Xenopus tropicalis: one gene and its partners. The protein of the gene in region 1 interacts with the protein of each later gene in a pairwise test. Links are inferred from orthologs where the notes say so. Each region holds a gene or a part of one and is shown on either strand. Other genes may lie near its edges. The genes, in order: trim54, ccdc146 and rabgef1.

What was found.
Region 2: the proteins of trim54 (region 1) and ccdc146 interact in binary tests that used the Homo sapiens proteins (3 or more experiments, as listed by UniProt). The two-hybrid records come from large-scale screens. The link is inferred for Xenopus tropicalis from reciprocal best matches to the Homo sapiens genes TRIM54 and CCDC146.
Region 3: the proteins of trim54 (region 1) and rabgef1 interact in binary tests that used the Homo sapiens proteins (3 or more experiments, as listed by UniProt). The two-hybrid records come from large-scale screens. The link is inferred for Xenopus tropicalis from reciprocal best matches to the Homo sapiens genes TRIM54 and RABGEF1.

Annotation. Positions count from the first base shown.
Region 1 is NC_030681.2:162,396,877-162,405,629, forward strand, and holds the start of trim54 (tripartite motif-containing protein 54), read right to left. Parts: upstream 4,475-8,753; 5' UTR 4,314-4,474; intron 2,879-4,313; 5' UTR 2,865-2,878; coding exon 2,697-2,864; intron 1-2,696. UniProt on the Homo sapiens protein: May bind and stabilize microtubules during myotubes formation.
Region 2 is NC_030679.2:78,143,409-78,151,112, reverse strand, and holds the end of ccdc146 (coiled-coil domain-containing protein 146), read right to left. Parts: intron 7,184-7,704; coding exon 7,055-7,183; intron 5,987-7,054; coding exon 5,849-5,986; intron 4,275-5,848; coding exon 4,026-4,274; intron 2,732-4,025; coding exon 2,528-2,731; 3' UTR 1,449-2,527; downstream 1-1,448. UniProt on the Homo sapiens protein: Essential for sperm flagellum biogenesis and male fertility.
Region 3 is NC_030678.2:48,710,803-48,719,455, forward strand, and holds part of rabgef1 (rab5 GDP/GTP exchange factor), read right to left. Parts: intron 6,190-8,653; coding exon 6,108-6,189; intron 5,627-6,107; coding exon 5,494-5,626; intron 5,143-5,493; coding exon 5,051-5,142; intron 631-5,050; coding exon 374-630; intron 1-373. UniProt on the Homo sapiens protein: Rab effector protein acting as linker between gamma-adaptin, RAB4A or RAB5A. Involved in endocytic membrane fusion and membrane trafficking of recycling endosomes. Stimulates nucleotide exchange on RAB5A. Can act as a ubiquitin ligase.

The DNA of each region.
Region 1 (8,753 bases):
TTCTCTATGTTGTTCCTCCTCCTACAGAGTCTCCTACATCTTGTTCCTCCCCCTACTGACTCTTCTCCATCTTGTTCCTCCTCCTACAGAGTCTCCTACATCTTGTTCCTCCCCCTACTGACTCTTCTCTATGTTGTTCCTCCTCCTACAGAGTCTCCTACATCTTGTTCCTCCCCCTACTGACTCTTCTCTATGTTGTTCCTCCTTACGGAGTCTCCTACATCTTGTTCCTCCCCCTACTGACTCTTCTCTATGTTGTTCCTCCTTACGGAGTCTCCTACATCTTGTTCCTCCCCCTACTGACTCTTCTCCATGTTGTTCCTCCTCCTACTGACTCTTCCCCATCTTGTTCCTCCTCCTTACGGAGTCTCCTACATCTTGTTCCTCCCCCTACTGACTATTCTCTATGTTGTTCCTCCTCCTACTGCGTCTCCTACATCTTGTTCCTCCCCCTACTGACTCTTCTCTATGTTGTTCCTCCTTACGGAGTCTCCTACATCTTGTTCCTCCCCCTACTGACTCTTCTCCATGTTGTTCCTCCTCCTACTGACTCTTCCCCATCTTGTTCCTCCTCCTTACGGAGTCTCCTACATCTTGTTCCTCCCCCTACTGACTATTCTCTATGTTGTTCCTCCTCCTTACGGAGTCTCCTACATCTTGTTCCTCCCCCTACTGACTATTCTCTATGTTGTTCCTCCTCCTACTGAGTCTCCTACATCTTGTTCCTCCCCCTACTGACTCTTCTCCATGTTGTTCCTCCTCCTTACGGAGTCTCCTACATCTTGTTCCTCCCCCTACTGACTATTCTCTATGTTGTTCCTCCTCCTACTGAGTCTCCTACATCTTGTTCCTCCCCCTACTGACTCTTTCCATGTTGTTCCTCCTCCTTACGGAGTCTCCTACATCTTGTTCCTCCCCCTACTGACTCTTCTCCATGTTGTTCCTCCTCCTTACGGAGTCTCCTACATCTTGTTCCTCCCCCTACTGACTCTTCTCCATGTTGTTCCTCCTCCTTACGGAGTCTCCTACATCTTGTTCCTCCCCCTACTGACTCTTCTCTATGTTGCTCTTCCTCCTACTGAGTCTCCTACATCTTGTTCCTCCCCCTACTGACTATTCTCTATGTTGTTCCTCCTCCTACTGAGTCTCCTACATCTTGTTCCTCCTCCTACTGACTCTTCTCTATGTTGTTCCTCCTCCTATGGAGTCTCCTACATCTTGTTCCTCCCCCTACTGACTATTCTCTATGTTGTTCCTCCTCCTACTGAGTCTCCTACATCTTGTTCCTCCTCCTACTGACTCTTCTCTATGTTGTTCCTCCTCCTTACGGAGTCTCCTACATCTTGTTCCTCCCCCTACTGACTATTCTCTATGTTGTTCCTCCTCCTACTGAGTCTCCTACATCTTGTTCCTCCCCCTACTGACTCTTTCCATGTTGTTCCTCCTCCTTACGGAGTCTCCTACATCTTGTTCCTCCCCCTACTGACTCTTCTCCATGTTGTTCCTCCTCCTTACGGAGTCTCCTACATCTTGTTCCTCCCCCTACTGACTCTTCTCCATGTTGTTCCTCCTCCTTACGGAGTCTCCTACATCTTGTTCCTCCCCCTACTGACTCTTCTCTATGTTGCTCTTCCTCCTACTGAGTCTCCTACATCTTGTTCCTCCCCCTACTGACTATTCTCTATGTTGTTCCTCCTCCTACTGAGTCTCCTACATCTTGTTCCTCCTCCTACTGACTCTTCTCTATGTTGTTCCTCCTCCTATGGAGTCTCCTACATCTTGTTCCTCCCCCTACTGACTCTTCTCTATGTTGTTCCTCCTCCTATGGAGTCTCCTACATCTTGTTCCTCCTCCTACTGACTCTTCTCTATGTTGTTCCTCCTCCTATGGAGTCTCCTACATCTTGTTCCTCCCCCTACTGACTCTTCTCTATGTTGTTCCTCCTCCTATGGAGTCTCCTACATCTTGTTCCTCCCCCTACTGACTCTTCTCTATGTTGTTCCTCCTCCTATGGAGTCTCCTACATCTTGTTCCTCCCCTACTGACTCTTCTCTATGTTGTTCCTCCTCCTATGGAGTCTCCTACATCTTGTTCCTCCCCCTACTGACTCTTCTCTATGTTGTTCCTCCTCCTATGGAGTCTCCTACATCTTGTTCCTCCCCCTACTGACTCTTCTCTATGTTGTTCCTCCTCCTATGGAGTCTCCTACATCTTGTTCCTTGTCTCTAATACAGGTGGGGGAGAGGTGCCATGAAGGAAAGGCAGGTTCTAGTTATAGGGAATTCAGTTACAGGGAAGGGCAAAGCATGACGGATGCCCCGGTGCCAGGAACTGACTGTTTATATTTATATAATTCTACTTTGGTTGCAGTTGGCACAAGGTTATTTATAAATAGATCCGGCATTGTATCACGGGGCCTATTTCCCACAGTGAGGGGGTCTGTGAATTCCAACAGCCAATGGAGGCCAACTGTATTCACTGGCCAATCAGAGGAGGCGACCAGTCAGAGTTTTCTGAGATAAAATAAAGAGGTTATGTTTTTTTCAATTGTGGTTGCTGGGGGGCAGTCATTAATGAGATCCCGGTACCTCCTGAGACACCTCCCTGAGATACCCCCCCAACAGTAAGAATGGCCCCTGTCCCATAGCGTTAGTGCCACACACAGGGGGTTAGACCAAGAGAGCCCCAGGGGGTACCTGGAAGATATCATTGGCACACTTTCGGCACAGGTTGTGCTGGCAGGGCAGGATCACCACGGGTTTGGTGAACATCTCCAGGCAGATGGGGCAGATGAGCTGCTTCTCCAGGTTGTCCATGGTCTGGGTGTCTCCGGCCAAAGGCTTGAAACCCACCGCAAAATTCATCCCCTCACAGGATGCTAGGAAGAAACAGGCAGCAAGATGTACTGGGGGTATATATGTGCCCCCCCAAGGGCCCCTCATCCCTAAATCCTCCCACCAACAGTACCACGTGCCCTCCCACCCACTCACAGAGGCCCCAGCACCCCACCCTGATCATGCTCACCCCCAGTCCCGCAACCTCACCCCCTGCCTTTCTAACCTGCGGGCACTGCCCCCAGTCCCACAACCTCACCCCCTGCCTCTCCAACCCGCGGGCACTGCCCCCAATCCCGCAACCTCACCCCCTACCTCTCTAACCCGCGGGCACTGCCCCCAGTCCCGCAACCTCACCCCCTGCCTCTCTAACCCGCGGGCACTGCCCCCAGTCCCACAACCTCACCCCCTGCCTCTCCAACCCGCGGGCACTGCCCCCAATCCCGCAACCTCACCCCCTGCCTCTCTAACCCGCGGGCACTGCCCCCAGTCCCGCAACCTCACCCCCTGCCTCTCTAACCCGCGGGCACTGCCCCCAGTCCCGCAACCTCACCCCCTGCCTCTCTAACCCGCGGGCACTGCCCCCAGTCCCACAACCTCACCCCCTGCCTCTCCAACCCGCGGGCACTGCCCCCAATCCCGCAACCTCACCCCCTGCCTCTCTAACCCGCGGGCACTGCCCCCAGTCCCGCAACCTCACCCCCTGCCTCTCTAACCGGCGGGCACTGCCCCCAGTCCCACAATCTCACCCCCTGCCGTTCTAACCCGCGGGCACTACTTCCAGTCCCACAACCTCACCCCCTGCCTCTCTAACCTGCGGGCACTGCCCCCAGTCCCACAACCTCACCCCCTGCCTCTCCAACCCACGGGCACTGCCCCCAGTCCCGCAACCTCACCCCCTGCCTCTCTAACCCGCGGGCACTGCCCCCAGTCCCACAACCTCACCCCCTGCCTCTCCAAACCACGGGCACTGCCCCCAGTCCCGCAACCTCACCCCCTGCCTCTCCAAACCACGGGCACTGCCCCCAGTCCCACAACCTCACCCCCTGCCTCTCCAAACCACGGGCACTGCCCCCAGTCCCGCAACCTCACCCCCTGCCTCTCCAAACCACGGGCACTGCCCCCAGCCCCACAACCTTAACCCCCAACACTTAGCAGCTTCCCCAGCCAAGGGGCCCTCAGGCTGATGCCACTGTGCCAGGCGCTTGGGGAGTGTGGGCAGTAGAGGGTAAGTTGCCCGGCCTGTCGGTCTCAGTTGAGTTTATCTTCTCTTGTATAGTTTTAAATAAAAAACATTAAAACCCTGCCCCCCCCCTCAATTCACACAACATCCCCAGTCCTGTGACCCCCCCCCCACAATATACCAAGCAACCCCCCCATCTAAACCCCTGAAAATTACTGTTCCCACCCAAAAACCCTGTAACAACCACCCAGACCCCCCAACCCAGCTGCCCCCCAAGTTCTGTGCCCCCCACTTACTGGTACTGGGTGTCCTGCCCTGAGCGCTCTCACAACTCTCTCCCCAAATGATACACAAACTGGGAGACTAAGTGTTGAGGCTCCGGTCACTTCCTCCTGCCCCCCCCCAATGATTAACCCTTCTGTGCCAGTGGCTGAGCAGCTAACAGAGCCCCTCGCACCAGGCTGTGCCCCCCCACTATCAGGCAGAGTTAATGCGACATGAGTGGAAGGGGGGCAGGGGGGCAGGGGGGCATTCCTGCTGTATATTTAGCTCAGGGATAAGGAGCGGGGGGGGGGGGGGGCAAGTCTGGGGTGCAGCTGTCACACACTCACTGAGCAGCTGATAGTGAGTCACACTCACACAATGACTCAGTAACAAAGGCACGCACCCCCCCCCCCACATACATATATATATATATATATACATACACACATGCACCCCCCCACCCCCTATAATATATATAGGAACCCCTCTCAGGCAGCACAATAAAACACTAAAGATAAGTGGGGGGGGCCTGGGGGGGTTTCTGAACAAAGAGATTTAGTGAAGCCGCATTAGTTGTATGGGATTAAACCCAATGGGAAAACTGTCTGTGCAACAATGTGGGTCCCCTTGTAACTGTGCTGAATGTAACTGCTCAGTACTGATTACTGGCAGCACCTAATTGGCTGGATTAGCTCGTTACGCCTTGACCTTCACAGGCAGGTGTGTCCAAAAGGTATTTAATGTGACCAATTGCAAGTTGTGCTTCTATTTGACTCTCCTGAGTGACAGCAGGGGATCCTCACAGCAACTCTCAATAGATCTGAAAGCAAAGATTGTTCAGTACAGGGTTTAGGGGGAGGCTACAAACAGCTCAGATCCCAGAGGGTTAACCTGTCAGTTCCAACTGTAAGGAACGTAATCAGGAAATGGGAGGCCACAGGAACAGTTGCTGTAAAACCCAGGTCTGGCCTGTCAAGGAACATCCAAGAGCGGAATATTGGGGGTGAATTGTGAGACTGGTTCCAGACAAGCCAAAGATCCCACCTCACCCCCCAGGAACTTCTTGCTGCAGACGGTGTATCTGTACCTGGTGCTACAGCGCCATTTGCACAAAGACCATCTGGATGGCCGGGGGGTGGGAAAGGAGCCCTTTCTGCCCTCGCGCCCCACATACCGTCGCTTGTTGGGGCAAAAGCTCATTTAGCTGCAGGCATCTGGGAACAAAGTGCTTTGGGCTGATGAGACACAAATGGCGTTATTTGCTCATAACAAAAAGCGCTTTCCCAGAAACCCCCACTGCCGACTGTCACATTGGGTGGGGGTCCCATCATGCTGTGGGGCTGGTTCAGGGACCGGGGTCCTTGTTAAAGTTGAGGGTCGGATGAATTCACCCCAATACCAACCCTTCAGGATCATGTCTAAGTGTCAGGCAGAGAGTTGCAGTTCCAGGGGTTGGATATTCCCACAATGAGCCCAAACACAGTGGGAAAGCTACAAAGGCATTTATGCGGGGGGTCGCACCCCCCCTGAATATCATGGGAAATCTATGGGCTGATTTGCAGCAGTCACATGGAACTGGGGGGAGTCTGTATGGGCAGTGATTGGGCAGAAATACCCCCATACAGAACCCACACACTCACCCAGGGCTGTAGGGGTGCCTAGGGGCTGTTACATCTCAATATCGCTGTTGGGGGGCCACACTCACTTTGTTACGGTGCATACTGTATATTTTCTGAAATAGTACTGTTCCCATAGGGCAGGTTATATATTAAAGGGGAGGTGCTACTGTGAGAGCCCAGCCAATGAGAAACACCAAAACATTAAGTTGGGTTCCCCCCCAGGGGGGGCACATATTGGCCAGCACTATGTATATATATCTCCTGTCCCCCCATCTCCGTCTCCCCCACAAACAAAACAGAATATCCATGGGGTGTGGGAGAGTGATTTTATTGGTGAGTCAGGGGAGGGGGGGGCTTCTCCCGTCCCCCCCAATCACTAACATACAATCATACAATGTGACATGGGCACCAGCTCCGTACTGGCACCTCTCTGTGCTGGTGAGAAATGGCAAAAGGTGCTGATGAGAGAGAGGGGGGGTAGTTACTGTGCCCGGGCACCCCCCTGGCAGAGACACATGGCATGACTGGCACATCTCTGCTCCAGTCAGGGACTGGGCTCTACTCAACGCTGGCTGTGGGGGGGGGGGGGGGGCAGATATAGCAGAACCACAGGGACTGGGCCCTACTCAGCGCTGACTGTGGGGGGGGGGGGCAGATATAGCCAGAACCACAGGGACTGGGCTCTACTCAGCGCTGGCTGTGGGGGGGGGGGGGGGGGGGGCGATATAGCAGAACCACAGGGACTGGGCTCTACTCAGCGCTGGCTGTGGGGGGGGGGGGGGGGCCGATATAGCAGAACCACAGGGACTGGGCTCTACTCAGTGCTGGCTGTGGGGGGGGGGGGGCAGATAAAGCAGAACCACAGGGACTGGGCTCTACTCAGCGCTGGCTGTGGGGGGGGGGGGGGGGGGGGGCGATATAGCAGAACCACAGGGACTGGGCTCTACTCAGTGCTGGCTGTGGGGGGGGGGGGGGCAGATAAAGCAGAACCACAGGGACTGGGCTCTACTCAGCGCTGGCTGTGGGGGGGGGGGGGGGGGGGCGATATAGCAGAACCACAGGGACTGGGCTCTACTCAGCGCTGGCTGTGGGGGGGGGGGGGCAGATAAAGCAGAACCACAGGGACTGGGCTCTACTCAGTGCTGGCTGTGGGGGGGGCAGATAAAGCAGAACCACAGGGACTGGGCTCTACTCAGTGCTGGCTGTGGGGGGGGGGGGCAGATAAAGCAGAACCGCAGGGACTGGGCTCTACTCAGCGCTGGCTGTGGGGGGGGGGCAGATAAAGCAGAACCACAGTGACTGGGCTCTACTCAGTGCTGGCTGTGGGGGGGGGAGGGGGGGCAGATAAAGCAGAACCACAGTGACTGGGCTCTACTCAGTGCTGGCTGTGGGGGGGGGGCAGATAAAGCAGAACCGCAGGGACTGGGCTCTACTCAGCGCTGGCTGTGGGGGGGGGGGGGGGGCAGATAAAGCAGAACCACAGGGACTGGGCTCTACTCAGTGCTGGCTGTGGGGGGGGGGGGCAGATATAGCAGAACCACAGGGACTGGGCTCTACTCAGTTCTGGCTGGGGGGGGGGGCAGATATAGCAGAACCACAGGGACTGGGCTCTACTCAGCGCTGGCTGTGGGGGGGCAGATAAAGCAGAACCACAGGGACTGGGCTCTACTCAGCACTGGCTGTGGGGGGGGGGCAGATAAAGCAGAACCACAGGGACTGGGCTCTACTCAGCACTGGCTGTGGGGGGGGGGCAGATAAAGCAGAACCACAGGGACTGGGCTCTACTCAGTGCTGACTGTGGGGGGGGGGGGGGACAGATAAAGCAGAACCACAGGGACTGGGCTCTACTCAGTGCTGACTGTGTTTGGGGGGGGGGGGGGTGAGGGCAGATAAATCAGAACCACAGGGACTGGGCTCTACTCAGTGCTGGCTGGGGGGGGGGGGCAGATAAAGCAGAAACCACAGTGACTGGGGCTCTATTCAGCGCTGACTGTGCGGGGGGGGGGGCAGATATAGCAGAACCACAGGGACTGGGCTCTATTCAGCGCTGACTGTGTGTGGGGGGGGGGCAGATATAGCAGAACCACAGGGACTGGGCTCTATTCAGGGCTGACCGTGCGGGGGGGGGGGGGGGCAGATATAGCAGAACCACAGGGACTGGGGCTCTATTCAGCGCTGGCTGTGGGGGGGGCAGATATAGCAGAACCACAGGCACTGGGCTCTATTCAGCGCTGACTATGTGGGGGGGGGGGGGGCAGACATTAAGCACTGGCAGGGACTGGGTTCTGAGGTCCAATATAAAGCAATCATGCAGATATTAAGGGGGGGGGGGGGTACAGTGCTGGTTGTTGAACACAGAGGAAGGAGTCAGACTGGGTCAGATGCTGCTCATCAGAACCCTACAGACTCTGGGCCCCAGATTTTCGGTACATTACATTGGCAGTGCCGGTCATGGCACAAGGTAAGGAAAACAGCGACTCACACTTGGGATTATGGGAAGGTCCCCGGCCCTTATCTTAGCAGCCAATCACCAGCTAATAACAGACAAACCGTATACAGAAGGGGGGTGCTGATGGCAGAGAAGGAAGGGGTTTATTGTTGGCAGAGGATTGGCTACAGGGAATCCAGTCTGATCCAATGACACTGATGTGCAACACAGACTGTGCTCCCCCAGGTTACATGCTCTGAATTCTGGGATTGGCACAGACCATTCACACACCGGACAAAAGTGGTGGAGCGGGTACTGTGAGTAATGATTGGATGTCCCTTCCAGTACCAGACAATGGCGCCGATTGGTGCCCACGTGCCAGTCTCCGCTGGGGATCAGATTCTCTTTGTGCTCCTCCCTGCCCT
Region 2 (7,704 bases), on another chromosome or scaffold:
TGGATACACCAGTATTCATGCAAAATATAAGTAAATCAGGGCCCTTCTGTTTTGCTTTTAAAAGCAAACTTTTTATATCTCAGGATACCAGGAACAGGTGTGGCTTGAGAAAGGATAGGTTAAAAAAAAAAATATATATATATATATTGTATATAGATATGAAAACTATTGTCTGGAATTTTTGAGACCTGACGTTTTCCAGGTCGTTTTGTAAATTAGAGCTCCATACTTTAAAGCTACTAAAAAAAAAATTAAAACAAATAAAACCAATGCATTCATGTAGTTTAGTAATCAAATACAAAGTAATGTTTTTGTTATTACAGAGAAAAAATAAAAAAAACCTGCTGAAAATGGAGTCTCTGGAAACAGCTTTCTATAATTCTGACCTTTTTGGATATTGGGTTTCAACATTTAGTAGAGATAAAAATAACATTGTTGCATGTACTCATTTTCATTACCCATGACAAGACAATTTATGCTCTCACTGCTGGGTGCTAGAGCAGCGGTTCTCAACCTGTGGGTTGGGACCCCTTTGGGGGTCGAATGACCCTTACACAGGGGTCGCCTAATACCATCGGAAAACACATTTCCGATGATCTTAGGAATAATTTTATGGTTGGGGGTCACCGCAATATGAGGAACTGTATTAAAGGGTTGCGGCATTAGGAAGGTTGAGAACCACTGTGCTAGAGTAAACTGGACCCTAGTAACCAGAGCTACTGGAACTGCAAACTGCTGAACAAAATCCTAAATACAGCTGAGTTGCACTTTAATCTTTAATCCTGTCTACTTTTCATATGTCTGTTTGGTTCATAACTGGTGAGGTAGAGCCCTGTCAAAGAGGGTATTGGTTATTTCATTTTTTTCCTTCCTGGTGCTAATAAAATCTGAACAAGAAGTTAAAAAAAAACATAAAAAAGTAATTAAAAATAGAGAATAGATTGTCTCCCTTTATTAAAGGAGAAGGAAAGGTAAAAACTAAGTAAGCTTTATCAGAAAGGTCTATGTAAATACAGCCATAAGCACTCACAGAAAAGCTGCTCTCTCTATCAAAAGAAACACAGGATTTCTTGTCTCCTTTTTTATAAATATGTTCTTCCCAGTCAGACTTCCTGCTCTCAGAAAAATATTTTAGGGCACGGCATGAGTCTGCTCAGTTTGCTTCTCACTCTCTCCCCCTCACAACTGTGCTATGTAATCTGAGCTACCAGCAGCCAGATCTGCAGCACAGAAGCTACAGAGACCAAGCTAAAATGGCAGCTGCTATCTTAAAGGAGAAGGAAAGGCTAATAAAGAGTTAATGTCAGTCCTCTCAATAGTGCCCTTAAGTCTCCCCATATTTCTCCTGTTCAGATGATCAGAAGCCTCATAGGAAAAAAAATCCAGAGCTGTGTAAAGAAAGTTCCCATAATGCCTCACTCCTGCACCAAGACCCCTGTACATGCGCAGTTAGTAAGACTATGAGGAAGCTTCCTGCTGTATGGCGCAGATCACTAATTTCTAAGGGGGGGGGGGAGCTGGAGAGAGTAGAGAGCTACACAGACGCTGGCACAATGGCTGGCACAAAATGGTTACCTTCTCCTTTAAAGATCACAAAAATTGTGGGTGTTTTTTGTTTTACCATGTTTTTAATTGTTTAAAGACCACTTTAAATGCCCTGAAATCACCATCTATTGTCATTAGAATTTGACACCATATGTGATTGTCACAAGACTTACATTCAAAAGTGGGCACATCTTCAGATCCACAGATTCATGCAATCATCATGTGACAACCAACAATATTTTACACAGGACCCTGAGGGTCATAAAAAGCAATTTAAAAGCAGTTTAAAAGAGAAAAATTAGTTGGCCAAAACACACTGTTCCTGTAATTGCCATTAGAGCGGCAGATAACCTTCACAAAACGTATTGGTTTCAGCTTGTGCACCACAAATAATAACTTTCTACAGTTGTTTTCCATTTCCTGTTAAACTTTTTTTTTTTAAATTTAGTAGCAGCTCAATAAGTTCTTATCACTGAGTCACTAACTGTTGAAGTGTTATACTTTTAAAGGAGAAGGAAAGGCAAAGTCACTTGGTTTTCTTGGAATGTAAAACAATACAATAATTCTCATAAAACAATACACCATCTTCAGGGACATGGCCAAAAATGGTGCAGAGCCAGGAGATACTCCTGACCCACCATGCTAAGTCCCTATGTCTCACCAACTCCAATGCGAGCAAAATATGTAAACTCTCTACTACTTATTCTCTTCTTTTTCACCCCCCCCCCCATTCACTCTCTTCTCCCCTCTCTCTTATACATTGTTTTGTTTGTTTGAAAAAAGGAAAATAAAAGCAATTTATATTAAACAAAATGGTGCAAAGCAGTAGCACTGTCAAGCAAAGGAAGTGGGCAAGGGCATTGTGCCTTTACAGCTCCAATTTAAAAGACACTATCTCATTGTATAAGGGCACAACAGGTGCTATGCTGGTATTAATAAAGGAAGATTGTTGCTGCAGATCATTGATAAGTTGTATATTAGCTTATATTTCAATAGGCTTTATTATTGGCTTCCTTATGTGCCTCATATTGGAACCAGTTTCACTGGGTTTGAAAGGAGCTAAAATTCCATAAGGTCGGGGAAGTGGAAGAGCACTTTCGTCATCAGGAATGTAGGCATTGGGGCGTTGCTCAGCTGTAGTGTATGCCCCATTAGGCAACCAATGCTGTTCCTCCTCCTCAGCCATCTACAAGAGAGAATATTTACAGCCATTAGATACTGAGTCTGTGATCCTTTTATTATGAAATGCCAACATACAAAATGTCTATAGTGACATGAGAGGTTAAATGTAAGATATCTTATGTAGGCTGAGGCAGATGCATGCATTTGTAGGAATAAAGTGAAAAATAGATGTTGAGAAAGCATATAAAGACATTTTAGAATGCTGTATTTTGTATGTAATTTCCTATTCAAGTATATGATGTAAAAAAAAAAATAAACTCAGAAGTAACATTTTACTAAGGCTTTGGATTGTGTTCACCTTTCCGCTAGATAGTCTATGCGTTTAGCTGTCTACACACAACCATGCAATAAATGGCAGACATACATATTAAGGGCTTCTTTGTAGATTGAATGCAAGGTCATTCAAATTTGCAACAGATGTTAGAAGTTGCAGATCTTGTTTATGGACACAGAATATTCATCTCTATGGAATTATAGAGTTATGTAATGATTTTCTGATATGTGCAGCATTATCAGTTCCTATCAGGGTGCCTCCCCAGGCGCTGTTTGATTTGCACATTTACTTACTTTAGTGTACTGGCACATGAGGAAAATTGCAAAGTGTGGGCAAAGAAGGCAGAAAAGTGTATAGATTTCGCACAACAGAAAAATCCAACTATCTACTGCAAAATTTCTGATTGTGATTTTTTTTTTCAGCATTTTATTTAAAAGTTTTATAACAACCATTATTATTCACGTGTACAGAGTACAGATTATAATAAGTATAAAGCATAAATTACAAAAGTGAAGGAAAGGAAGACTAAAAGAATGAGAGAATAGGTTATGGGGGGGGGGAGATTGGAGGTGGGTTGGGTAGAGTGGCTCTCCTGTTTGTGATTTTTTTAGCCTTGCAAACTAGGACCAGCATTTTTGGCTCATGTCTGAGTCTATGCACATTTACTCATGGAATCTAGCTTCCAAATCAGACAAAAGTTAGTGATGGGAAATCCAATTCACACTGAAAGCTAATTCTAGAGGCTTATATCACCATTACAAAGTGACAGTGCCAAACTGTAGTAATGTAATTGCCAATAACAACCAATAAGCAATTCATTTTGTTTAGACTGCTAAATCAATTGTCTGATTGTTTGTGTTGGTAAATAAAGTGGTACAATTTAGCACTTGTGCTACTAAATGAGTCTTAATGATGCTTAATTCCAATGTAGGTGGGTTTAGAATATGGACAGCATTAGAATTTTCCCACCAAGTTTTGTAATATAAAGTTAAACCAACTGGGATTACTGTATATAGTTACTTACTCTGGCTTTGTCTTCCTTCTCCTTTTGGAGTCTATGCTTATCTCTTATCATTTTTTTCCATTCATTCTCTGTCCCTTCACTAGGCGGAAGTCCTTGTTCCATCCTGGTATGACAAGCCTCCACCATTTTTTCCTTGTTCCTTAATTCTTCCTGAAGCTTTATAGAATTTGCTTGTTGCATTGATAACTCTGCAATCAGAGACATCATCTTCTGCGTTGTGTTCTTTATCTTCTTGTGGAGTTCATTCATCTGCCAATATAGGCAGTTTATAAACAAAAAGCAATATGACCAAGAAAAAAATAAGTTTTACTGCCTCTTTCCATGTTAAGGAGCTCATTTATCCCACTGGCTTAAAATAAAAGTTTATACATATAGGAAGATCTAGGAAATAGAGCATCAGAACAGAGAACAAACAGTAGATCAGTGGCTCAGGAGGTGCACTTGTTCTATTTAGAACAGGAGGTAGGTTGGGTGCACCAAGTGCATTTGTGATAGTTAAGTGCAGGTAGTGTGTTTTCACGCAAGTACTTTTAATGCATACATTTTTGCGCAACTACAGCTGTGTTTGTAAGTGACCCCTGTGTTTGTTGTACCCCCTAAACATTGCAGATCTCTGTATAAATATATTGCGAAAAACTTCTCACGTGGAACGCTGCTTTATCTAAATAAACCATTTTCATAAAAATATACTTTTCTAGCAGTACAGTATGTGCCATAGGATCCTAAATAGAAAACGGACAAAAAAAGATGTAAGAGCAATATTTATCGATATAGAATTTTACCAAACTGTAATAATAAGATATATACTGGGGGATAGTTTTCCTTTAAGGCTATCCCACTTGTAATAGGTTTAGGTAGTTTATAGATCTTAACAGTTTCTGAACTATTTAAAATAATGTCCAATGCCTAATCCCTGCATGTGTCCATATATTAATAAAGTTTTTACACTATTATGTTTTCTCTTGTTTATATTTTGTCAGTGCTGAGATCTATGATGTATATAGTCCTGTGCTGGTTGGTTTTTTTTCAGTTTACCTGACATGGTGATTTCAAGTGACATGCAGCAGTACTGAACAAAGTGGCATGGACCTTTCTTTGCATTTAATTTAGCAGCAATTATATCTTGTGTCCCAAACATATGGAGAGTGTGGTTTGATGACAATCCCACACATTATAAAACAAGCCTCTACGCAGAAGCGCCCCAGTTACCAGGGGCGGCAAAAAGCCGCTCCTGGTAACTTTAAGAGCCGAATTTCTGGTTTTTAAACCGGAAATTCGGCTCTTCTAGTGCAGAGAGCGCAATTGCAGGAGCCGCCTCAGGCGGCAATATGTCTAGAATCGCCCCTGCCTCTACTGGAACATCTTGCCATAATAATTTGTGAAAACTAGTGTTTAAATTAGAAAACATTTGCTCTAGAAGAGCCCGGGGTGGCCTGGAGGCATATTTGGGCAGTCTATTTCTCTCTCTCTCTCAGGTTTCTCTGAGTCACATGACAGAAATGACATCATCAAGCACCAATTATAACTGGTGACATCACCAAGCACAATTTATAAGGATATAACTTACAGGATATTTATGGCTACTGTGTATTACAGGATGAATACTGGGTGTGTTTGAACTTTATTCATTACTTTTTTTTTTCTTTATGTGGCCACAAGATTTACTGGCAAGGATTTCTTTAACTTTTTTTTCTTTTTAAATAAATACCCACTTATCATGGTGACGCTATTTTCTCAGACAAAGACTGTAATCCAAAAATGTTTTGAAAAAATGACCAGTCTGTTTCATTCAATCATTATCTATTTTGTTTCTAAACAATTACCTTTTTAGACAGCAGTAGTGTGTCCTGCTTTCCATTTTCTGCCTTTGTGTGTATTTTCTTTGTCAAGTGGGAAACTTGTTCATAGAGTAAATCTTTCTCCAATAATTGCTCTTCTTTCTGCGCAAGGTGCAACTCTAGCTGTGAACACAAGGTAGTGGTAGGTAATCAGCCATATACACAGTAAATCATTGTACTTTTATAGTTTATAGCATTTCCCACAAACTTCCTTATTGTTTTATTTATTTCTAACCGCATCATTATGATTATGTGTCAGTGAACTAATATGTTTTGCCAACCAGACTGACCAATGGCCAGCAGCAATTATACAGGATTATGGGTCCACATGTGGTCAGGTTTAGTCTACGTCTATGTCATTTACTTTGATTCTGAATAATAACATGTGAATTATCTTTCCAAATATAGCTAGCTGTGAGATACCAAGCCATGCAAGGATTTAATCAAGTTACTGGTAAATGCAGAGATGTCAATAAACCCCATGTTATTAGGGATATGAGCCACTTTGGGCATTTTGAAACCTTGTATTATATTACCATTTACAGTGAAGAGCAATTAAATTAAAAAATAAACAGAACTGAAACATTGTCACCCTAATAATTTTGAGTTATGTGGCATCTTTGTTCATTCTTACTTCTGCTAAAGAAATATAAGTGAAGGCTCGTTTGTCTCTACAGGTATAATAGATCTGCATTGTTGGAAAAGTGTTTTCAAGTAACCTCATCCCAACAGTGTAGATACATTATTGAGAGCGCTATTATCACATTTTTTTCTTGAGCAGGAAAGCAGAATTAACAATTAATATGTATACATTATTTGTCTAAAATAAATGACATGATTGAAACTCTGGGATTTCATAGGTTCGAAGTGACACTTTGTCGTGGTGGGCATCTTACTTCCACACACAGAATAGAAAGATATTTCTGCAGTTTTTTTCATAATTCTGTAAATCACTTATTATTATTATTATTATTATGCACAAAATTGGTTCAGTGTGTTTTTTATGCTCTAGCAGGGACACATGCTGTAACTATTGGATCTTGGAACCTCGCATGAGAAAATTTAAGCACAATTTCTATCATGATCCATAAACAAATTATGACAAATAAATACAGATGGTGGGAATAATTGTGAACCCATATTCTGATGTTTAACACCAATGTGTAACTTGAATACATGTATTCTTCCTACCTCCTCTGTTTTTTTCATAAGTTCTTGCAGGGAAGGATCTTTTCCTTCTAGCAGGCGGGTTCTGTATTCTTTCCCTGGGTCTTCAGTTTGTGTTTCCAGCTCAGCAACTCTGTCATTGCACTGCGAGAGCTGTTAAATAGAGAAGTCCAAGCATTCCAATTTATTAAACAGCCAACAAGACTTTGCCCATCAAGTTGAAGGGTAAGAGAGAAGGGCCTAATTCTCAGTGTCCCTCAAAAGGAGGGGAAACCAGTTCATAGTTACATAGGGTTGAAAAAAGCCCAGTCCATCAAGTTCAACCCTTCCAAGTAAACCCAGCACACACAAACCTATACATACCTATCTACTCACATACACAAATTACATATAGTTCAAGAGGATATATGCCAAAATATACATGTGGCAGGGAGGAAGGCAGTATTAGGGCTCTGGCACACGGGGAGATTTGTCGCCCGGGACAAATCTCCCGTGTCTCGGGTGACTAATCTCCCCGGGTTGCCATCCCACCGGCGAAAATGTAAATCGCCGGTGGGATGGCATACGCGGCGGCGCGATTTCAGTGAGATCGCGCAAGTTTCAACTCGAGGCAACTTGCGCAATCTCACTGAAATCGCGCCGCCGCGTGTGCCATCCCACCGGCGACTTACACT
Region 3 (8,653 bases), on another chromosome or scaffold:
CAAACAGAAAAAAAAACAAAAAACAAACTCCTTCCCTCTGCTTTCCATGGTGGGTGGCACACTGATCCTATGTATAACTAAGGGACTTTAAGTACAATAAGCAGCTGCAGACATGGTTCCTCTCTGATTCTGAGAAATCATTTATGTCTGTGTACAAAAATAAATAAAAGAGGGTATCTTTTTGCCTTTAATTATGACAACAGTATGCCTTTAAAGGAGAAGGAAAGGTGGGGAGGAGGGGTGCCTAACATTGTGGCACCCCCCAGTGATTCTACCCTTCCATCTCCTTTAACTGGACTGGCTCTGTGCAAGAGAGAAGCATCTATACATTAAATTGATGTAGTGAAAAATTTGAGCTGTTTTGCACACACACCAGGTTAGTGAAATAATAGCCATCCTCCCCAGTCATCAGTCTGCTGGGGTTGCAGAATCTAGTGATGTACTGAATATTGGACTGCAGGCGAGGTGGATTTGCCTTGAGAACAATGTAGATGAGAGTGGGCAGGAAGTCATCAGCTGAGGCTGGCTCATTTTTTGTGATCTTGATAGCGTTAAAGATGTGTTTGCTGCAGCGTGTGATACAAGCAAGTTTGTCACGGGGGATACGTTTTGAGTCCATCTCAATAATATCTGCAGAGAAGAGAATTTAAAAAGAAAAGAATATTTGTCAAAATTCTTTTTTTTTTTTTTTTTTTTTTTTTAAGTGACAGGAGTTCTTATTGCCTTATACCAATGTGTGAAATTTAGACTCTCATAAAAGATTTTTTTTCCATAAAAACCCATGTATCTACAGCTTTTTGTGAGTTATACTTAATTAGCATAAGAGAATGACTGTTTAATGACAGTAAATACTGACACAATTAGACAGTCGTACTCAGTTCTACAGAAGGAGATACTATAAACCTTTTCAGTTTAAAGGGGTTGTTCACCTTTAAGTAAACTTTTACTATAGAATAGAGAATTTTTTTATTGGTCTTTTTTCGAGTTTTTTAATTATTTGCCTTTTTCTTATGACTCTGTTAAGCTTTCAAATGTCACTAACACTGGCAGCCCTCTGTGAGGCTACAGTTTTATTGTTGTTAGTTTTATATTACTTTTCTTTCTATTCAGGATCTCTCATATTCATATTCCAGTCATTCAAATCACTGCCTAGGGTTGCTAGGGTAACTTGGGCCCCAGCAACCAGATAGATGCTGAAATTCCAAACTGGTGAGCTTCTGAACAAAAAGCTAACTAATTACAAAAACACAGATAAAACCTTCTGACCAATTGCAAAGTGTCTCAGAATATCACAGTCTACATCAAAAGTTTATTTAAAGGTGAACAACAGAAGGGTTATGAGCATATAATCTGTTCCAATCTCTAACTGCACATTCACATGAAAAGCAAGCAGCTTTGTTCACACATTACCTGGAAAAGCACTAAAATATCACCAGTGTGTGTTTCCAAGTGCTAACTGCAGACACTTGTTGACCCCTGGAGCTTCCAAGGTGGGTAGCGGCACCATAAGCAGAACAGTAATGAAAAAAACCCCACAAGCCTTTTGCTTAATTTATATTTATCCCTTTGGAGTGCAATAAGGGTTGATATTACAATCTTTTATTTATAGGATACTCATGTTTTACAACAGAGCTTTATATGATATATATGATATATATGATAACTGACTAAGATAAGGATGACGAATGGGCTTAAAAGTCAGATTTGAAGGCAAGTTAAGTAAAGGTGGCCATACATGCTAAGATCCGCTCGCTTGGCGCGGTCGACAAGCAAACGGATCTTCTCCCGATATCCCCACCTACGAGCGGGCAATATCGGGCTAATTAGGTTGTTTGGCTCTGGGGGCAAATGATCAAATTAGAATGCCAGGTATGGGCGTCCGTCTGTTCGGGGACCGCATCAACGAGCCAATGCAGTCCAGATCAGACTAAATTTTTAAACCTGCCCGATTTTAGGCCAGATGTCGGTCGGGCAGGCCTTGCGTTAATACCCATACCCAGGCTGATAAGCTCCTGAATCGGTCTGAGGGACCGATATCAACAGCTAGAATCAGCCTGTGTATGGCCAACTTAAAGGAACAGTAACACCAAAAAATGAAAGAGCTTTAAAGTAATAAAAATATAATGCACTGTTGCCCTGCACTGGTAAAACTGGTGTGTTTGCTACAGTAACACTACTATAATTTATATAATAAGCTGCTGTGTAGCCATGGGGGCAGCCATTCAAGCTGGAAAAAAGGAGAAAAGGCACAGGTTACATAGCAGAATATCTGCTATGTAACCTGTGCCTTTTCTCCTTTGAATGGCTGCCTCCATGGCTACATAGCAGCTTATTTATATAAATTATAGTAGACTTTCTGAAGTAAACACACAACTTTTACCAGTGCAGGGCAGCAGCACATTATATTTGAGTTACTTTTATACTTTTTGGTGTTACTGTTCCTTTAACACATTTCCTTCATTGCACTAAATGAAGTCAAGGCAGCACCAATGAAGAAAACAGATTACCAGTTGTTCTAGCTTGCCATCTAGTGGAGAAATTAAGTAATTATTTAACACATTAAAAGGCCATAAAGTTCAATACCTATAAAAAGCTGTGAGGACCAGATAAAGTAACAATATACCCTGTGTATAACCTCTTTAAAATGGTAATGCTACCAAAATTTACATACATATTTAGCCAATCACCCACAAAAATACCCAACAGTTTTTTCACCAAAATCAGGGCGCTCCTTATACAACTATACTGGCACCCCTCCACACCCAAAATCAGCATAGCCAAACTTCAACTTCCAACCCAGGCGGGGGGTTTAGCAGCCCCAAATCTTTTTCTATATTATATAGCCGCTAAACTAACCACTGCAAACTGGTGGGCAGCACCAACCCTGGACAACCCGGCTACACGCCTTGAAGCCCAGACAGTGGGCTCATACGAAGAGCTAAAGAACCTCTTATATAGGGGCTGCTCCTACACCTCAAAAGCAACCCCACTCATGAAAGAAATAGTATGGGCTTGGAATACCGCCCTCAGCCTCTTTCCCAAACCACAAAACCACTGCTCTGAACTCACCCCGCTCTGGTGCAACCCCAAACTACAGCACCTCCAAACCTTACCAGACCCCCAGCTATGGGCCAGCTCCCAAGTCAAGTATATACAGGATATAGTTAAGGAAGGGAAACTTCTAGACTTCCAGGCCCTAAAAAATAATTTTAACCTACCAAATAGGATGCTCTTCCGATATTTACAACTGAGACATGCAGTACACTCACAGTTTCAAGGAACAACCCTACAAACTACCCCCTCCCGAATAGAAAAACAAGCACACAACTGCCCACACGCCAAGGCCCTCTCCCGCTCCTATGCCCTTTTGGCACTGGCTAATGATACCTTATTAAACAAACTCTATAACAAATGGCTAATATATATACCAGACATGAATAAAGAGCAATGGAAGGAAACCCTTTGATTATATAGTGGCCTCAAGAGACAGGCTAATACAGTATAAATTCTTGCACAGGGCATATATCACACCCAAAGTACTAGCAAAGATATCTCCATCCCAGGTAGACGAATGCCCCCGCTGCCACCAATCCCCAGCAGATTTCATCCACATGGTCTGGACTTGCAGCAAAATAGCGAGCTTCTGGACAGAGGTGGCAGACTATATATCTGATCTAACCAGCGCCCCCATCACGGTAACACCATCCGGAATGCTACTAAACCAAACTACTGATCTAGCCCCAACAACTGCGGAAAGAGCTCTCATTTCTATTCTGTTAGCATATGCCCGTAAGTCTATCACAATGAAATGGAAAGCCCACTCAGCTCCATCCATACAATTCTGGGTAAGCCAAGTCAACCAAGCAATGCCCACATATAGATTGCTATATGTCAGAAGAGGATGCCCAAATAAATCTGAGAAAATTTGGTCCTCGTGGCTAGACAAACACAATATAGGAAATTGATACCACCCCGATAACAGAGCAACCTAGTATCAGAAACAAAAAATGAGTGTTGATCCCCTCCCCCCTCCCCTCCATCTCTACCACACAATGGTCCTTCCATCCCATCACTCTGGTCTAGAAACAAGCGTTGGCAATGCACAGTTTATAGTTGTGTTAAGGTAGTAGTTAATTGTAGATTTATAAAGCACAAAAACAGTGGAACTCAGAATTACAGGGTATGTATTGTTATAGCGAGATCCACCAAAGCACATGTTATGTCACAAAAAGTTTGATATATGCTTTGTAACATATGATCTCTCCTTTGATGTTCTGACTGGAAACTATGTCTGTAATCTGTTTCTTAATAAAACTCAATGGTTAAAAAAAAAAAACGGGACATATTTTTCCATTAAAGTGACCCGGATACCCACTAAACCTGTTTTTACACTTGCCATTGTGTTTATGTTATGCACTTATAAAATGTTATTTATCAAATCCAAAGTTTGGTCGCATTACTATTAGGAGTGGATCAACTACTGCTCCACAAAGCAGCCATGTTTGCTCTTTTCTTCTGCACTGCTATGTAAATGCCATAAATAAAAAAAGGAAAAAAATCAACCAATCACATATGCATGCACAGGTAAATGCTGCAGACTGACGAGCATTGGGAAGGGAAGTCACATTATGGTCACGTTCAGTTACTCTGGCTTAAAGGGTAAATGTAATGTTAGGATCCTCCCAGCTTTTTGACTTCAGCTACTCCATTAATAATTCTGTACACTCCAATATACTGTCTTGTTAAGGTCTCTAGGCAGCTTGGTGGATTTTAGGTAGTGGCCCTGTAGGGATACCACATTGCTTAAAACTATGTTAGGGTGAAGACACACAGAGCTACTAGTAACTACTTATCGTGGCTACTAAGATAGACAATGCTAATCATTTACTGATAATTGTCTCTACGTGTGCTTTAGCAGAAGCAATTCTCAGTATTGTCTATGGCAGGGTATTTATTTTCTGGAGTTTAGTAGCCATGAAAAAGTAGCTGCTACTTGTAGCTCAGTGTGTCTTCACCCTTAAAGATACAGAATGCTATGAGTAACACTGACCTGTTATAGCCTTTACCACCATGTCAGACACCTCTGCGATATCTTCATTTACAGGAACACAAAGCATCTGAGGAGTTACCCAGTGTAAAGCCCTGTGGAGAAAAGATTAAAAAGTTAGGTATGTGGTAAATACCTAAAGGACACAAGATTTGCTAGTAAGATACCTTTCAAAGCATTTTATTAAAAAAAATATTTATTTTATCTACCTTTTGTTGTGACCTTGTTTGACCTCTATTCATGCTCTGATTACCCTTTTCTCTGCATTGCTCATCTGTTTAACATATAATATACTATCAACTAGTTATTTGTTGGTGATTAGTTCCATAGCTGTGGTGGGAGGAGCCTTGATATTTATAAGATTAGCTATAATATCTAATAATCTAATGCCAATACAGACTAACAATGCAGGATCTAATGTGAAAGGAACCAGCGCCCCCCCATACCGGATTCTCTTTTGGACTGTGAGGTCCTTCTTCTCATCATCTGTGGTTTCTGGGCAAAACACGTGCTTGTAGAGACGAGTCATTATGAACCGCTCAATTTGATCCGTCACTTTCTCAACTTTATCAGGGGACACTGAAAATAGAATCAGCTTCTGTTCTGTATAACATTTTCATTCACAGAAAGCAGATATTTGGGCATTTTGAAAGAAAGCGAAATGTCTAATTCTAGAAAAACAGAGTCAGATTCTGAATTGCTAACCATAAAAAATATGCATTAGATACTCTGATAAACAAGAGTTTAGTTAGACGTGACCACCACATAATAAAATTAGATTTACTAAGTATATTTTAAACAACCACTACTTTATTCATGCGTGAAATGAATACACTATCACTGTCTTCCCTAAAGTACTAAATCTAAAGTCTGTCTTAAATCATAATAAAACTAGCTTTTCTAACAGGACCCAATTCCACAAACAAAAAAAATCCATGACATAGTACACCCTTTATTATCTTAAGCTACTAAAAAAATGCACAAATATTTAGGAATGTAGACCAGGTTTGGGATGAGATGCTTCCAATCTTTAAAATCATCACAACAAAAAGAATGTTACCCTTCCAATACATCTGCAACTTCTCTGCTGTGTTTTGATAAAAGTCCTGGGTAAATTCAGATTGTTCGTCAATATTTGATTCCTAGGATAAGTAAAAAAGGACATACAGGATATATTAGCCAATTAAGAACCACCAAAAATGAAATCATATTTTGTTATCCAGTGAAAAAAGTGCATAAGGTCACAGCAGCTCCTGGACATATGCCATTTGATTGATACAGTCCTGTTTCTCACCAGGGAAACCTGTAACAACCTTTATAGCCTTCTTCATGCCTGGACCATCCCACATTAGCTCCCGCTGTTTCTAACTACAAGGAAACATTTTTACTGAATAGGACTATCAATGTAGTAAGTTGAAAGGATTGTTTGTGAACAACTGGGAAGAACTACTTTTACAGGCTAATCCATCATGTACCAAAAATATGCTACACTGTCTGATCCATTGAGATGGTAAAGGTAAGAATATAGTGATTATTATTGATGTTATAAATATTATAAGGGATGCACCGAATCCAGGATTCGGTTCAGTATTCGGCCAGCATTCAGCCTTTTTTGGCAGGGTTCAGATTCAGCCAAATCCACAGTCCTGTCCAAATGGAATCCGAATCCAAATTAGCATATGCTAATTAGGATTTGGAAGGGTTAATGCGGTGCATAAACAAGGAAGTGTAAAATGTAACCATCCCAAATGGGATTCGGTTCGGTATTCGGCCAAACCAAAACTGGGTTCAGTGCATCTCTAAGTATTATAAAATAAACATTATTGGAATAATAACAATCTTAATGAAATTCTGCATTCCCTAAAACTGAGCTGTTAGGGGCCCCAGACTTGTGTATGGGGAAGCATCATTTAACTAAGACTAGTTCCAACTACGATAATACATGTTTAAACAACAGCCCCGAGATAAATGGGTTAAAGCTATATTTTATATAGCAGTGGGTCTAGCATATTTAGGCAATTTTAACCAAATGACTCCTTCCCATGTATTTGCCTTGACTATTTCCAATCAGAAGTTTTTGGAGATGCTGGTAAATCTATTCTACTGATCATTACACAGAAGGAATGACTGCACAAAGGTCAGATTTAAAGGAGAAGGAAAGGCTAAGTCATTTGGGGGTGCCAAAATGTTAGGCACCTCCCAGTGACTTTAATCGCTTACCTTTTACCCTGGGTTGGTGCCCCTGTTAGGAGAAAACCGCACCAGCCCGGGGTAGCTCTTCTTCCTTGTTCGCACACTTGCACAGTAGAATGAAAAGCCGAACTTTAACAAAAATGTCAGCTTTTCACTCTACTACACAGGGATTTTGACGACAGAAGGAAGTGCTTGCTGCAGTCACCTCGGGCTGGTGCTGTTTTCTCCTAACAGGGGCACCAGCACGGGGTACAAGGTAAGCGATTAAAGTCACTAGGGGGTGCCTAACATTTTGGCACCCCCAGGTGACTTAGCCTTTCCTTCACCTTTAAGCCAAACTGGTGAGCACTTTGTCCTATTCTGCCATAACACTTGTTTTTGCATAATGAAAATGCAGATTTCAAGCAATAGTCATCTGATACAAACACAGGTTAGGCAACCCAGACCCATCTAGTTTCCTTGCTGGATCATTGCGGCTACCCTGGGCTGTGTGCATGCACAGCAGAGAAAAAGTTCAGCTTTTAGCATCTAAGTTCTCATTATACTCTATGTACTGTATGTGCAGTCCAGACCAGCTACCAAGAATCCCTGGGAGGCACAACAATTGGTAATATGGAGCTCACTAAAATAGTACCACCCCCAGAGGGGGACCTGTCTGAGGTCAATGATTATATTAACTGGTGGGCAACCCCCAGTAATTAATTGAAGTGTTTTTAGCGCATATTCTGTTTGAAAAGGATGTTTTCCCTTTGTGTGCGCTAAATTGTCTTGGAGTAGTGATGATTTCATTTAATTTACAGAGCTACCCGAATAGCAAATGTGCAGCTCTTTTGCATCTCCACTGCCACACTAAACTGCTCTAAAACAGACTTAATATAAGATTTTTTTATACGAGCAGTGTCACATAAGTGGCCATAAGATTCTATGTAACCATATTTTATCATACTGATGCATGGGTCACTAAGGAGGAAATTCAAAAGAGACTTGAACATGTAAAGGTAAACAGAAGTCCAGGACAGGATGGTATTCATCCCAGGGTACTAACCGAGCTTAGCTCTGTGATTGCAAAACCTATTCACTTATTTATTTAGGATTCATTGAGGTCTGGAATAGTGCCGCGAGACTGGTGAATTGCTAATGTGGTGTCCTTATTAAAAAAAGGGATCCCATTTTCAGCCTGAAAACTATAGGCCTGTTAGTCTGACATCAGTGGAAGGAAAGCTTTTGGAAAGGATAATAAGGGATAGGATACTTGCAAATCACAAGACTATAAGTTTGTGCCAGCATCAGTTCACCAAAGGCCACCCCTTTAGATTAGGGGAACAGAACTTTAAAGCAACATAGGTGGTTCTTTACAGTGAGGGCAGTTAGGTTGGGTAATGCCCTTCCAAGTGATGTTATGATTGCAGATTC